3 linked regions of the Drosophila melanogaster genome follow. The protein of the gene in region 3 interacts with the protein of the main gene of each other region in a pairwise test. Each region holds a gene or a part of one and is shown on either strand. Other genes may lie near its edges.

The links.
Region 1: the proteins of sip2 (region 3) and feo interact in a two-hybrid assay, tested with the Drosophila melanogaster proteins (one study listed by BioGRID).
Region 2: the proteins of sip2 (region 3) and Septin2 interact in a two-hybrid assay, tested with the Drosophila melanogaster proteins (one study listed by BioGRID).

Annotation. Positions count from the first base shown.
Region 1 is NC_004354.4:10,851,891-10,856,776, reverse strand, and holds feo (fascetto), read left to right. Parts: upstream 1-1,907; 5' UTR 1,908-2,172; coding exon 2,173-4,188; 3' UTR 4,189-4,331; downstream 4,332-4,886. Other genes in the region: sofe (sister of feo), read left to right, coding at 1-1,329.
Region 2 is NT_033777.3:20,585,574-20,590,186, forward strand, and holds Septin2 (septin 2), read right to left. Parts: upstream 2,784-4,613; 5' UTR 2,699-2,783; coding exon 2,551-2,698; exon of another isoform or gene 2,430-2,550; intron 2,423-2,429; exon of another isoform or gene 2,297-2,422; intron 1,885-2,296; coding exon 773-1,884; 3' UTR 556-772; downstream 1-555. Other genes in the region: Srp72 (signal recognition particle 72), read left to right, coding at 3,252-3,363, 3,425-4,452, 4,515-4,613. UniProt on the Drosophila melanogaster protein: Involved in cytokinesis.
Region 3 is NT_033779.5:6,961,004-6,965,671, reverse strand, and holds sip2 (septin interacting protein 2), read left to right. Parts: upstream 1-1,597; 5' UTR 1,598-1,733; intron 1,734-1,816; 5' UTR 1,817-1,854; coding exon 1,855-1,928; intron 1,929-1,995; exon of another isoform or gene 1,996-2,016; coding exon of another isoform or gene 2,017-2,039; exon of another isoform or gene 2,040-2,117; coding exon 2,118-3,777; intron 3,778-3,841; coding exon 3,842-4,081; 3' UTR 4,082-4,156; downstream 4,157-4,668. Other genes in the region: Coprox (coproporphyrinogen oxidase), read right to left, coding at 1-1,153; Hmgcl (3-Hydroxymethyl-3-methylglutaryl-CoA lyase), read right to left, coding at 4,199-4,668.

The DNA.
Region 1 (4,886 bases), on a different chromosome or scaffold from region 3:
CAGCGAGTGCAGCGCCTCAGGGATATGGACGAGCTGCGCCAGAACATCAAACGAAACATAAAACTACTCGAACTTCAATTGCGAACGGACTCGGAAAAGCGGTTACTCAATGCGGATAACCATAAGCTTACTCCCTACGCCTACGTGCGCCTGCAAGAAATGGACAAAGAGTTCGCCGACCAGGTGCAGGATCTAATCGACCGCATCGACGAGATGCGCGGCAAGATTGAATGCCTCTGGCAGCGGCTCAGGATGACCGACGAATACGCCATGCGTCGTGTGCGCGAAGCCACGTCCTATAACCAGTGCACCTACGACATATTGCGCGAGGAGCTGGAGCGCTGCCAGGCGATGCGGCAGCAGAATCTGATTGCCTTCATCGAGCAGCTGCGCATTGAGATCAACGAGTGGTGGGATCTTTCACTGAAAAGCACCGAGGAGCGCAGGCGCTTCACCACCTACTACTGTGATACGCAGACCGAAGATGTTCTCGAGCAGTTCGAGAAGGAGCTGGACAACCTTAAGGAGTTCTACAACAGCAACAGGAAGATATTTGAGCTATACGCGAATCGAGGCGAGCTATGGACGCGCATGGAGGCCCTGGAGGCCAAGGCCAACGATCCAAATCGGTTCAACAATCGCGGTGGACAGCTGCTCAAGGAGGAGAAGGAGCGCAAGACTATCATGTCCCGTCTGCCCAAGATCGATCAACAAATCACCGAACTGGTGCAGGTCTACATGAGTGAAACGCACACGCCGTTCCTGGTGCACGGCGTGGATATACTGGAGCGCATGTCGGCGGACTGGGAGCGGCATCGACAGTCCAAAAAGCAGCCCTCCGCCCAGAAGAAGGATGGCAGCAATACGAGCGGCCAAATGAAGCCGCCAATGGTGCCTCTTACGCCCAATACGCAGAAGAGCAACCGGGGCATCCATGGATCCACATCCTCGTTGAAGAAGACGCCGACCAAGGCAAATGCCAGCACCACGGCAATGAGCACAGGGAATCTGCACAAGAGACGGCATCCACAGCATCACAACACCAATAGTCCACAGCCGGCAGCAGCGGCCAAGCGAAATCTAATCGCATCGCTGGAGTGCAACAATGCAAGTCGCAAGGTCTGTGTGAATGGGCAGAAGCTGCTCAAGTCGCCGCAGAGGAAGGTGCGCGTGCTGGAATACTCGGTGCGTCGGGGCAAGGGATCCGGCAGGCCGAGCACAGGGAGCAGGAATCCCCAGAAAATTCGTCCCATACCAAAAATCCATGTGCGTCCGCCGTCCGGCGAGGAGAACGAGAGTCCCGACGAGGAGGCGGTCGTGGCCATATAATGGAGCTAGACTCTAATCACATCCAATGGCAATCATTTCGGCAACTGATCTGTGTTCTATATCTATTACCTGTACTGAAGTATTTGGCTCGCAATTGCAGACTCATCGTATTTATATGTATACACATATGTATAGTGTTAGGGCTTTTCCTAGCGCAAAGACTATCTAAATTTACAACTTTAAAATTCTTTTAACTATTTTGCACTACCTGTGACGGCAAGAAGTAAATGAACAATTGTCCACATTTTAAATTTTTAGTCAGATAAAAACGCTTGTTTACATTATAAATTACTTGATTTCAATTTTACCAAAATATACATGTGTGGGAAGGGTTTTCTAAAGTCTGTGGGATGTTTACTAAGCGCATATAAGAGAATATAATACGTTTTTAAGGAGCAAAATAATTAAAATAGATATTTTAATTTGCTAATAAACCAAATAACGAATTTTAAATATTCAAAAAAGTGGCGTATGCTCCAGCCCTGGTTTTACCAGAAGTTACCGCCGCGTGGCAATGCTGTCCCACAACGCGGTGGCAACACTCTTGGCCGCCATTTCAATTTGAATTTACCGAAATTTCTGTCTAGCGTCATCGATTCATTCAGTTCGAAATTTCGTGCAGTGATGCACTCTAAATAAACCACTAAATAAATCCGCACATTCCCGAGCAATCCTGCCCAGCGTTGTGGGTCTGCGACACAACTGTCAAGTTAACTCAGATATGCTGGTTAAATAGTCCCCAAGTGAACACAACGAAAAAACAAAGCCAGTGAGCATTTACGCAAGAAAAGAAATTTTGAACAAAAAAAAAAAAACACAAATTTCACAACGAAAACGGAGAAAATGAACTCGCCGAGCGCCATTGCGGTGAAGGCCCAGATCCTGGAGATGACGGGCGAGCACGTGGATCAGTTGCACGCGATGTGGTCGCAGTTGTTCGAGGTCAAGACCTGCGGTGAGTTCCTCCTCCGGTTGAAGGACCATGCGAACAGCTTCTTCACGGATTTGCTCAATGAGTCGCGCGAAAAGCAGCAGGCGATCCTCAACGATATAGCCGCCTTGCGGGCAGAGGCCACCGACTTGACGCGCCTACTCCACGAGCCGCTGGACATTGGCGAGCGGCCGGAGTCCATGCCGCTGGTCGTCTGGGAGCTGAAGCTGGACAAAAGCATCGAGCACTTACGCGATCAGCTGGCCAGGCGGCGAGCGGAGATCTGTGAGCTTCTGCTGCAGCAGGAGCAGCTGTGCGAGGAACTGGGAGAGCTGCCTCTGCCACTGTTGGCGGATCCACTGCCGCTGCCCGAGGAGATGGACGCCTTTCGGAATCGCCTGGGCCAGCTACGCGATCAGCGAGTGCTGCGCCTCAAAGAGATGGACCAGCTGCGCCAGGCCATTAAGCACGACATGAAGCTGCTTGAGTGCCTGCCCCAGACGGACACCGAGGAGCGTCTGCTCAACCAGGTGGATCACTGCCTAACGCCGGAGACCTTCGAGCTCCTGCGCAACATGCAAAAGAACTTCGCCGACCAGGTGAAGGAGCTGAGGGAGCGCATCGACGATATGCGCGAAAAGATCCATGTGCTGTGGGACAGACTCCAGGAGACAGACGAGTATGCCATGCGTCGCGTGCGCGAGGCTACGACCTACACTCAACGCACCTACGATGTCCTGCGGGAGGAACTGCAGCGCTGCCAGGCCCTGCGACGCCAGAATCTGAAAACCTTCATCGAGCAGCTACGCATCGAGATCAAGGAGATGTGGGATCTCACACTTAAGAGCCAGCAGGAGCGCAAGCGCTTCTCGAACTACTACAACGACTGGTACAACGAAGATCTGCTGGAGCTCCACGAACTTGAGCTGGACGACCTCAAGACCTTCTACAACAAGAACAAGGAGATCTTCGATCTGTACGAAAGCCGTGCCGAACTCTGGTCGCGCATGGAGGCGCTGGAGGCCAAGGCGAGCGAGCCGAATCGCTTCAACAATCGTGGCGGCCAGTTGCTCAAGGAGGAGAAGGAGCGCAAGGCCATCACCTCCAAGCTGCCCAAGATTGAGCAGCAGATCACGGAACTGGTGCAGGCATACGAGGCGCAGGAGAACACACCCTTTCTGGTGCACGGCGAGAACATCCTGGAGCGGATGGCCGCCGATTGGGAGCGTCATCGCCAGGCCAAACAGCAGAGCTCGGCGCGCAAGAAGGCACCGCCATCGGCCAGCAAGATAATGCCACCGCCGGCAACGGGCTCGACAGCTCCACGCACGCCGCGCACGCTGCGCAACATGTCGACCCTTTCCAGCTCCACCATGTCGCTGCGCAAGACGCCGTCGCAGCAGCACCTCCGTCCACTAAACATCACCAAGAGTACGGGCAATCTGCACAAGCGCCTGAATCCGTCCGGCCTGCAGACGGGCCCCAAAACGCCCAACGCCAAGCGCAGCCTTATGAACACACTCAACTCGATGAAGGCGTCGCCAGCCAAGCACCTGCTCGCGCCCAGCCAGCAGCATAACCAGCTGAAGAGCACCAAGTCGCCGCTGAAACGTGTTCGCGTACTGGACAACACACTGCGACGCAGCGGCGGTATGGGCAGGCGCAGCATTGGAACGCGTTCCAGCAAGAAGGCGCGCACCAAGTCCAACGATCAGAACGCCCCACCCGACAGCAGTGACTACACAACGGACGAGAATCCCGAGCAGGGTGTCAGCTATGACGAATTTCAGCCGACCAGTCGCTCCTCGATGCTGCCGCGCCAGCGTCATCAATTGGCCGTGCCGCGAACTCGTCGTGCGGAAATGAATGCCAATCTGCCGGTGCCGCGGGAAAGCCTGATGATCGTGCAGCCGCGCAGACAGTTCTAGTTCCACTGGAGATTGACTAGCTTAACGCGTACCTACTACACTATTTCATAACAGTTGGAGTTTCTTGATGTATTTTAATTTTTTATTTTCTGTTTTACGTTTTCAGAATAAAATTTATGTGAGTTTTTTCGCTTGACCACAAGACTCGAGTGTATTTCACATTTCTTTCAGCATAATTCGTGTGTAAATTTCAGGAATTGGTTGTACATTTGTTAATAATTTTTTGCTAGTTTTCCACCAAAAAGAAATAGCTGTACATTTCGATGTTTTACTATGCTTTCACGATTTATTTGATCATCAACTAAATTTGTTAATTGTTAGAGGGATGGGGAGCTATTTGCACTTTAATTTTAATATACTAATATACAACTAAATTTGTCAATTGTTAGAGGGAGGGGGTGCTATTTGGACTTCAATTTTAATATACTAATATACAATTCAATTTGTCAATTGTTTGAGGGAGGGGGAGCTATGTGCAATTTAATTTTAATATACTAATATACAATCGCACTGATGCAAGCTTTATAAAAAGATTCCAACCGCCTACACTGTAGTAGAGCAGTTCTTATTTGACTATTAAATACATATTAACACATTAAAATGGGCGGCACGTGTGGTGCCTGCGCCAGTGATGAACCCTTCAATTGGCCAGAGCCCGGTGCGGTGCAACAGCTCCTCCCAATTCGGATACCGTTTAT
Region 2 (4,613 bases), on a different chromosome or scaffold from region 3:
AAACAAAATTATAACGAACAAAAAACAAACACAAAGGGGTATCTTGCTTTTTGCCAACGGATACACCCACTTTCATGGACTATTCTCTACGTTGAACACGGTTAATTGCTTTCGTTTGGGTTACGGAGCACTGGACTCCGTGATTGCGTCGAATTCGCTGCGGTGATTCTATTATTGCGTTTTTAATTTGTTCTATAATTTTTGCAGCCTGCAGTGAATGAGTGGGTAACAGTGTGACCAGGTGGCAAGCACAAGACAAGTAAAATAAGGCCGTACTACACTTACGTCCTACGAAAAGCCCGCCAATCTTGAAATTCAAATTACCATGTTTTTGTATTTAAAAAGCGGAGCTTAAAAGAAATTCAAGGAAAATATAAACTTAATATGTATTGATACATATCAATCAGTGACTTCTAAGGAAACCAGGATAATCTTAGATAAAATGTTATTTTGTTGTCTTTATCCAGCGGTGCCTTCAATACACACTTAAAAACACATTATATCGACAAAAGTTTACAATTTTTTGAATACAAGTTTCCGGCAAACAGCTCTTTTCTACTTTGTTAAAATACTAAGTTCGATTTATTCGTTAGTTGTAAATACATAATCATTATATGCCTGCGTACATATGCGTGTAGTTGTGTATATGTTAATATTTGAAGTAAACTTAATAGTACAAATGAAAGACAACGAGATGAGAAAGCAATAATTACTTTGGGATAAGCGAACCGCACAGAATTCTCAATACATTGTGAGGCGGCGGCGCCGGATTCTACTTCTTCTTGCTCTTGCCGAGGGTGAGCGTGTGGTGGGCGGTGGCCAACTGCTGCTTGCGCCGCTGGAAGTCAAGGTAGTCCTCCTCGAGCGCCTTGCGCGACTCTTCCAGCTTGCGCTTCTCCTCGGCGTGATCCCGCTTTAGCTTCTCGAACTTGGCGTGCAGGTCCTTCTCGCTCTCCTTCAGCTCGGCCTCCTTCTCCTTAACGCGCTGCACGAACATCTGACGAACCTCCTCCTCCTTGGACTGCAGCTCGGCCAAATGGTTGGAGCGCTTTGCCTCGAACGTCTGCTGGAACGAGATGGGCTTGTTGTCGCTGTCCACATCGCTGAAGCCCATTTGCTCCAGCCTCTTCTGGCGATACAGCTCGTAGTGGCGCGTGTGTGTCTTTTCGCGCATATCCTCCATGTTGGTGCGAATGAGCATCTCGCGCAGCTTCACAAAGTCGCAGTGCGTCTCGTTCTCCACCTGCACCGTGCCCCAGGGGTACTGGCGAGCGCGGATGAGCTTGTTGCCCACCTTAATAAACTCCGTGCTGCCCACCACGGCGAAGGGAATGTGCGAGTTCATGCTGGTGTTGGTCTCGGCCACCGTCTCATCGTCGGTGGGGAACTGGTAGATGTGCACTCCATTGGCGTTTAGCTCCTGAATGATCTTCGCCTTGAAGCGCTGTAGCTCAACCTTGGAAATGGTATCCGCCTTGGCAATCACCGGAATTATGTTCACCTTGCTGTCCAGCTTCTTCATGCACACCAGGTCCAGCGATTTGAGGCCGTGCCCAGTGGGGCAAATAAAGTAGAGGCAGATGTGGATGCGGCTGTCGTGGCATGTCACCAGCGATCGCTTGATCTTCAGCTCCTCCTGCAGATAGTTCTCGAACTGTGCGTCGATGTAGTCCACCACCGCCTTGAACGAGTCGTCCTTGTTGATCTGATCGCCGTAGCCAACCGTGTCGCAGATGGTGAGCTTGAGTCGCACATTGCTCTCCTGCAGCTCGTAGGTGTGTGCCTTCAACTTGACGCTCGGCAAAGTGTGGGGACTCGGCGTGGACTCGAAGCTGGTGTTGAACAGCGTGTCCATCAGCGTCGACTTGCCCAGTCCGGTTTCGCCTGCGGAGCGTAAAGATTTCGAAATGCGGGTCAGATTTGTGCCAGATTTGGGGAACCTTAGCCTAAGTGAGCTCAATTGGCCATAGAAGCACTGCGGCATTGGTGTCAGGGTGAAATTGTAGAAAGTGGCGGAGGCAATCGATTGCCGGCCACTTTGCATACTAATCGTATCTGGGCGTCTGGTTATTTCAATTGTTTACCCGCTTTTATGTACCTAAGTGATTCACTTTATCTGAGCAATGCACTCCAACATGAGACACTTGAGTACATAGCACAGCGGTGTTCAAAACAATAGCATCTTTATTTCAAGATGTGCTGTGCAATAGTCTTTGCTTTCAATAAATAATTGTATTTCTAATATGATTTTACTGATTTTACTCGTATTAAAGTTTAACAAATAAAAAGCACACACCTCGGTTTTTATTTCATTCTCTCTGCATCGAGCTACCACTGTATGTCCAATTTCTAATTGGTGTGCAAACAAAGCCATCTTTGAGTTAAGAAGCAACAAAAGTTTGAAACCTTCTCCAAGTGACTCCTTTATGGAATATAAAAAATCAGTGCTATTGCTTTGGTCACCACTGTTTTGTATGCAAGCAAAACTTCGGTTGATTCACTGTGCCGCATACACACGCACACACGCAAAGTTCACCCGCATATACACACCTATACACATGACGTTGAAGACGAATCCATTCTGGACACTCTTGTTGACCAGTTGGTCAGGCAAGCTGTCGAATCCCACGTGACCGGACTGCTTCAGGGTGCGGAGGTGCACCTCCTTCTTGTCGACGAAATCCACCTCAACGGACATTTTCCAATAGTCAAGTCAAATAATCCAATAATCCGGGCGCAGAGTTTGGATCAAAGGCGTCGCCAGCGAATATGCAAGTGTGGCCAGATACGCGGAGCCCAAAATACCAGCGGCTCAAAGAAGTGTGTGGATATAGATGAACAAGAAAATTATAACTTAACAAAGAATTAAAAAACAATTATTTAATGAATTACATGTGCCATAATGGCAAATAGTGAAACGAAATTGATAATCAAACAGTGAAATGCACTTCATGGATTAAGATTTTAGTACACATCATTTAGCGTTTCAGTTTTTAATAACTAATAATAAAATGTCCCATTCATAGATATTTATGCATAAGTTATTAATTAAATGTAAATAGTTTAAAAAATTAAATGTCTTAACTGTTTCCGCCATCTGGCATCTCTGGTTGCACACAGAAGCGATCTGGCAGGTCCGCATTGCTGATGTGTCTACAGCTGTAAAAACTTGCATGTTAAACGGAAAGTCGAAAGTTTAAGTCAGTGAATAAAATATATATTACCACCCACTAACGTGCTGAGCAAACAGGATGTCAAAGGACGCTAATCCCAAGGAGGCGCTCATAAAGGCGGCTTACGCTGATGTGAATAAGTTCGGCAATAACCAGGAGTTTGACAAGGCTGTCAAGGCAGTGAATCGCAGTAAGTTTTTCAGATTACCGAGGTTATAATCCAGAAGATGACTCCCTATGATCTCTCATAGTCCTAGGCGTAGCGCCCGACGATCCCACCGCCCTGCACTGCAAGGTAGTCTGCCTGGTGCAGCTTTCCAAGTTCGAGGAGGCCTACAAGTTTATTGAGAAAAATCGACTGTCCTCGCTTTTCTTTGAGAAGGCCTACTGCGAGTACCAACTTAACAAGCAGCAGCAAGCGCTTAAGACCATAGACGATGCGGGTCTGCAGCCCCTGCCTCCGAACCTTAAGGAGCTCCGAACCCAGGTCCTGTACCGCTTGGAGCGCTACGATGAGTGCCTAGACTCCTATCGCGACATCATTAAGAACACCAGTGACGAGTACGAGGAAGAGCGTCGGACCAATCTCAGCGCCGTGGCCGCCAACTTGGCTGTGGATCAGACCAAGGAGGTGCCCGAGGTGCCGGAAGACACCTACGAGCAGTACTTCAACAGCGCGTGCATCCAGGCTAATCGGCAGAAGTATGCTGAAGCCGAGCGCAAGTTGCGCACCAGCGAGAAGCTCTGTCTTGAGGATGAGTGTGCCTCCGAGGAGGAGATCATTGAAGAGGTAGACGTCATTCGCGTCCAACTGGCCTATGTCCTCCAACTGCAGGGCAAGACCAAGGAGGCGTCCAGCATCTACGCGGACTGCCTGCGTCATAAGCCAAAGGACGCAGCCCTGGTGGCCGTGGCAAGCAACAACTTGGTGGTGGTCAATAAGGACCAGAACGTCTTCGATTCCAAGAAGAAGATACGCGCTGCCCTAGCCGACGCCTGTGAGTCTAGGCTCACCTCGCGCCAGAAGCAGGTCATAGCCCTCAACAACTGTCTGCTAGCACTTTACACTAATGCCGGCGACCAAGTGCAACAGCTTAGCCAAAAGCTAGCTCAGACCTACCCGCAGGTGGAATTCGAGGCGCTGCTCATTCGCTGCACCCAGCTGGCCAAAGATCGCAAGCACAAGGAGGCCATCGAGCAGCTACAAAAGTTCGCTGCAGCCCACAAGTCGCACGAATTCGTCAGCAAATTTGCCATCATACAACTTCAGCTGCTTCAGGTAAGTTGCCATAAGTCGTAAGTCGAAAATGGAATCTTATTTTTTGTATTTCGTTGCTTTAGGGCAACCGCAAGGATGCAATTGAAACACTGCTGTCATTGGGCGAAGCCAAGTACAAGCCTGGCGTTGTCTCCGCTCTAGTATCCCTTTATCTAGGCACG
Region 3 (4,668 bases):
TCTTCAGGACCTTCATCAGTTTGCCCTCCTCGGACTGGGACTTGGGCTCGTGCATGTACTCCCAGCGGGCGTGCAGGGGCAGGGACATCAGGATGCTCTCGTACCGGGCTCCAGGCGTGTATAGACCGAACTTGGTGCCACGATCGTAGATCAAATTGAACTCCACGTAGCGCCCGCGGCGCAGCAATTGCCACTGTCGTTCGTTGTTGCCATACTCCCGATTTTTGTGCTTTCGTACCAGCGGCACGTAGGAGGGAATCACGGCCCTGGCGCAGCTTGACACAAAGTTGAAGGCCGCCTCCTGGTTGGGCGAATCGATGTCGTCGAAAAAGATTCCGCCAATGCCGCGGCTCTCGTTGCGATGCTTGATGCGGAAGTAGTCGTCGCACCACTTCTTAAAGCGCGGGTAGTAGGTGGGATCGTGCTCATCGCAGGCGGACTTCAGCGTCTGGTGGAAGTGGGAGGCGTCCTTCTCGCAGAGGTAATAGGGCGTCAGATCCGTGCCGCCACCAAACCACCACTGCTTCTCCCCCTTGGCAGTTTCCACTTCAAAATAACGATAGTTGAAGTGAATGGTGGGGACATGGGGATTCCTCGGATGGATCACGGCACTCACACCGCTGGCAAAGAACGGCAACGAGGCGCCCTCCTTCAGATTCTTGCCGCGAGCCCGCATCTGTTGTACTGCAGCCGGGGGCAACGAACCGGTGACCACGGATATATTGACGCCTGCCTTCTCGAACACATCGCCATCCTGCAGGACGCAAGTGATGCCGCCTCCGCCCTCAGGCCGCTCCCACCGGTCCACCTTGAACTTCTGGCCACAGTTCTCCTCCGCCTCCAGGGCGCGGCAAAACTCCGCCTGGATCTCCATGATCAGGATCTCCATGCGATGACGCATGTTCTCCTTGTCCCCCAGCAGTGCCTTGGAGTCGGTGATGGGCTCGGCCATGAACCGCGAGGTGTTCATCTGCACCCCGTTGACCTTTGGGTCGACAGCCTCCGCGGAATGTGCGTACGTGACCGCCGAAAAGCTGGCCAGGCCCAATCCCGTGCCGAGGAGAAAGCCTCTGGCGTGCGGCCCCCTGGTCCGGCGCACCAGTTGAAAGGTGCCCAGCGATACCAGGGATATCGTGTGACGGAGTGCGTTCATTATGTGCTCTCGCCTACTTCAAATTTTTAACTTAACTTAAGTACTTTCGCCGAACGCAGTTTGTTTGTTATCTTTCACTGACCCGGCATTTCTAGTTGCATAGTCGCCGGTGTGACCGTGATATCACCAAAATATACCGAAAATAGGGGGCTCGCGATTTTGTTCTATTTACAGAGATACAAGAAGTTGTAACGTTCTTATAAAAATATTATATATTGTTAAGAACACTAGCTAGCTCAATATGTCTGTATATATACACAAAATAATAATAATAAATAATATATGTTAAAAGTTACGGAGCAGTACAATTGCTTTTAATGGTAGACATATTTGTCTTAATTTTATATTATTATTTGTTATAAGTGATATAACTCCGATGATGTATATGTGTAGTGTCCATTGGAATACCCCATTCAAAAATATAAGCGCAATACGGGCACTCTGTCGTGGCATTTGAAATAAACGACTGCAAAGGCGCGTCGATCGTTGGCAAATGAGCGTGCTGTGAAGAAATCCATGAAATATTTGCGTGTGCGCCTTGAAGATTAAGGAAGATCTGCGTGAATACTATTGCCAGAAGGTAGGTGATCGACTGGAGCGAACTCTAAATCCTCTGAACTATAGTCAACGCGCAATTATACGTGTTTATCCCGTCGACTGGAGTTTTGCACCCAGGACACACGCACACTCGCACACTCACGATGTCTGGCCTCAAGAAATTCCAAAACACTGAGGAATGGCGTCAGAAACTCCGTCAGTTTCTAATGACCGAGCGGTAAATACACATTGAAACCCATCCTTGGATAGTGTTGCACTAGTGTTCGATGAATTTGTAGTCATTTACTTTCAAACAAGCCACCTGCATGTCAAAATTGTTAGAGAAACAGTACGCATAAATAGTTTGGACAGTTTAGACACACATACAATTTAGTTGAGAAAACTAATAACAGTTTTCCTTTTTCAGCTTGCCGAAAAAGCCCGTGAAAATGGACGAAACGAAGGATATGCGCTATAGTTTGGAGATCGACGAGGATTTGAGGAGACCCTTGGAGGCGCGGGCCAAGAAAGTTCTGGCCGTTAATTCTGCCAGTCAAAGGACTGTTAATCTCGGCGAGGATACTATGTACGAGGCAGGTGACTTGGAGCACTTGGACGATGGCGATGATAGCTTCAGTGCCTTTGAGCGCATGTGCGACAAAACCGGTTCCGATCCGGATAGCACTCTTTTCCAGTACCTGCACAGCGAGGACCGGAGTCAGGTGATGGCCAGGGCTAGGGATCATAGCACCGACGATCAGAAAGAGATCGATGCACTGCGTCGCATGCTAGAGGCAGTGGGTACAGAAGACGATCTATTGGAGAACGAAAGTCCCGTCAAGGGGGCGGAGTGCACTCACCTGGAGGACATTGAGGCGCCGTCGCGCTTTTGGGACAACACCCTGGCCGGAATGGACGAGACCTCATCCGACTCTGGGCTGACTCCTAAAGCATTGACCAAGGTTTCGCCTGTCAAAATGGTGGGGCTGCTTCGCCCCTCAACCATCATCGAAGACAGCGAACTGGAGTCGTCTGATGTGTCTTCACACACAAGCTTCCAAAGCGCTCGCACCCTAAAGACAAATGCATCTAGTTCTTACGAAACAGCCACGGATACTTCCCTCAGTGGAACGCTCCTAAACGTCGACGAATTGTTTTACGCCGCAATTGCCAAGGCCAAGCCACCAGGAATGTCCAAGGGAGAGGAGCTGGAGCTCTTAAGCGATCTTCATGGCAGTCTTAGAGAGCTGGCCTCACTTCCGAAGGATGAGGTCGAGGAGGAAGAGGACGATATAGAGGATACAATAATCGAGCTATCCTCTTCTGACGATGAAGAAGTGCAGCTAGTTCCAGAAGTAAAACAAGAAGACACGTCCCGTGTGTCCTCAGTCCACGGAAAAGATCACACTGAGCAGAAACCAGCGGAGAAGAGCGTTGAAAATAAGGAAAATTCGTTGCATTTCAATGATACCATGGAAGAAATGGAGTACATGATGCAAAAGGGTATGGAGTACATGGCAGGTGGGGCTCCTTCAGTCGCCGCAGTCAAGGCAGATTGCCCTGTGCTGCCCAAGACCAAACAAAGCACGTTCGTTGTTTCACCGAAGCCGGAACCAAAATCACCGGCTGTAGCCTTTTTGCAGCCATCAATTCCGCTGCGGTCATCTAATCAGCCACAAACAGTTGTAGGTTCATCTAGCACGGGTAGAAAGCCGCTCAATGTCGGCCTCACCATGGAGTGGACCAAAAAGAAATTTTTCAGTGCAGCCTCTGGTATTCCTCAGCGTCGCCAAAATCAGATAAAGCAGCCATACGCCAACATAGTCAGTCCCATACGCACCTACACCCAGAAGTCTGGTACTGCTCCGCTAATGAGTACATTCCGTCCAACGAGTTCTGATATGCTATCTACACTGGCCATCAGTGAGTTGGAGCAGGAGTCTCGCTTGTGTCATCCTAAAGCACTTTTCGCAACAAAGGACGAAACACCCAAGTCCAGTGAAGCGGAATCTTTAATTATCAATGGAATCGATTCAGCCGCTGATCTGCTTCCCAAAAAGGCTTACATATCTTCCGAAATCAAGCATGTAAGTTTAAATTTATATATAAGCCATGATGAGTGAACGTAAACTAATACCTTCCATTGAACAGGTGGTTGATGAACGAACTCCTTTGCCCATGCCGAAGGTACCTCAAATTCAAAAATACCTCAACTCCGCCGTGGAGCCTACTGTTATGCGCCACGATGGCAAAATGAAAATGCCCGGCGAGGCAGTCCGCAATCCGTCGTCTTCGCATATCCCACGACGCGCCAATCACAGCCTGGCTGATCTGTCGCTCGCCTCAGGCGACGTGTCCTTATACACAATAAGAGATGCCCAAAAGTTTTAAGGCCCATAAAAGTACTTCACGCTCCTTGACTAAATATTGCAACGATAATAAATGTATTGTGTAACTAGTGCTAGTAAATGCCTTCGTTTTCGTTTGATAGTATCAATGCTTGCATCATCACTTAACTCGCGCCTGCGGTCCCTTCCACGCTCGATTAACCTTGGACTCTGAGGTTCTGCCCAGTTCGGTGCAGATGTACCGCCCCACTTGGATCAGTTTGTCTAGGTTGACGCCAGTATCGAGGCCCATGCCGTGCAGTAAGTAGACCACATCCTCGGTGGCTGCGTTGCCTGACGCCCCCTTGGCGTAAGGACATCCGCCCAAGCCAGAAACGGAAGAGTCCACCACCCGAATGCCATAGTCCAGTGAGACCAGTATGTTGCTCAGAGCCTGACCATAAGTGTCGTGGCAGTGCACGGCCAGATCTTTAGCCGGGACGACCTTGGTCACCTCATCCAGCATTCGGCGCATTGTGCCTGGAGTGCCCACACCAATGGTGTCGCCCAATGAGATCTCATAGCAGCCCATTTGGTACAGGGCTTCCACCACTTTGACGACAGCACTCGGCGCAACAGCACCCTCGTACG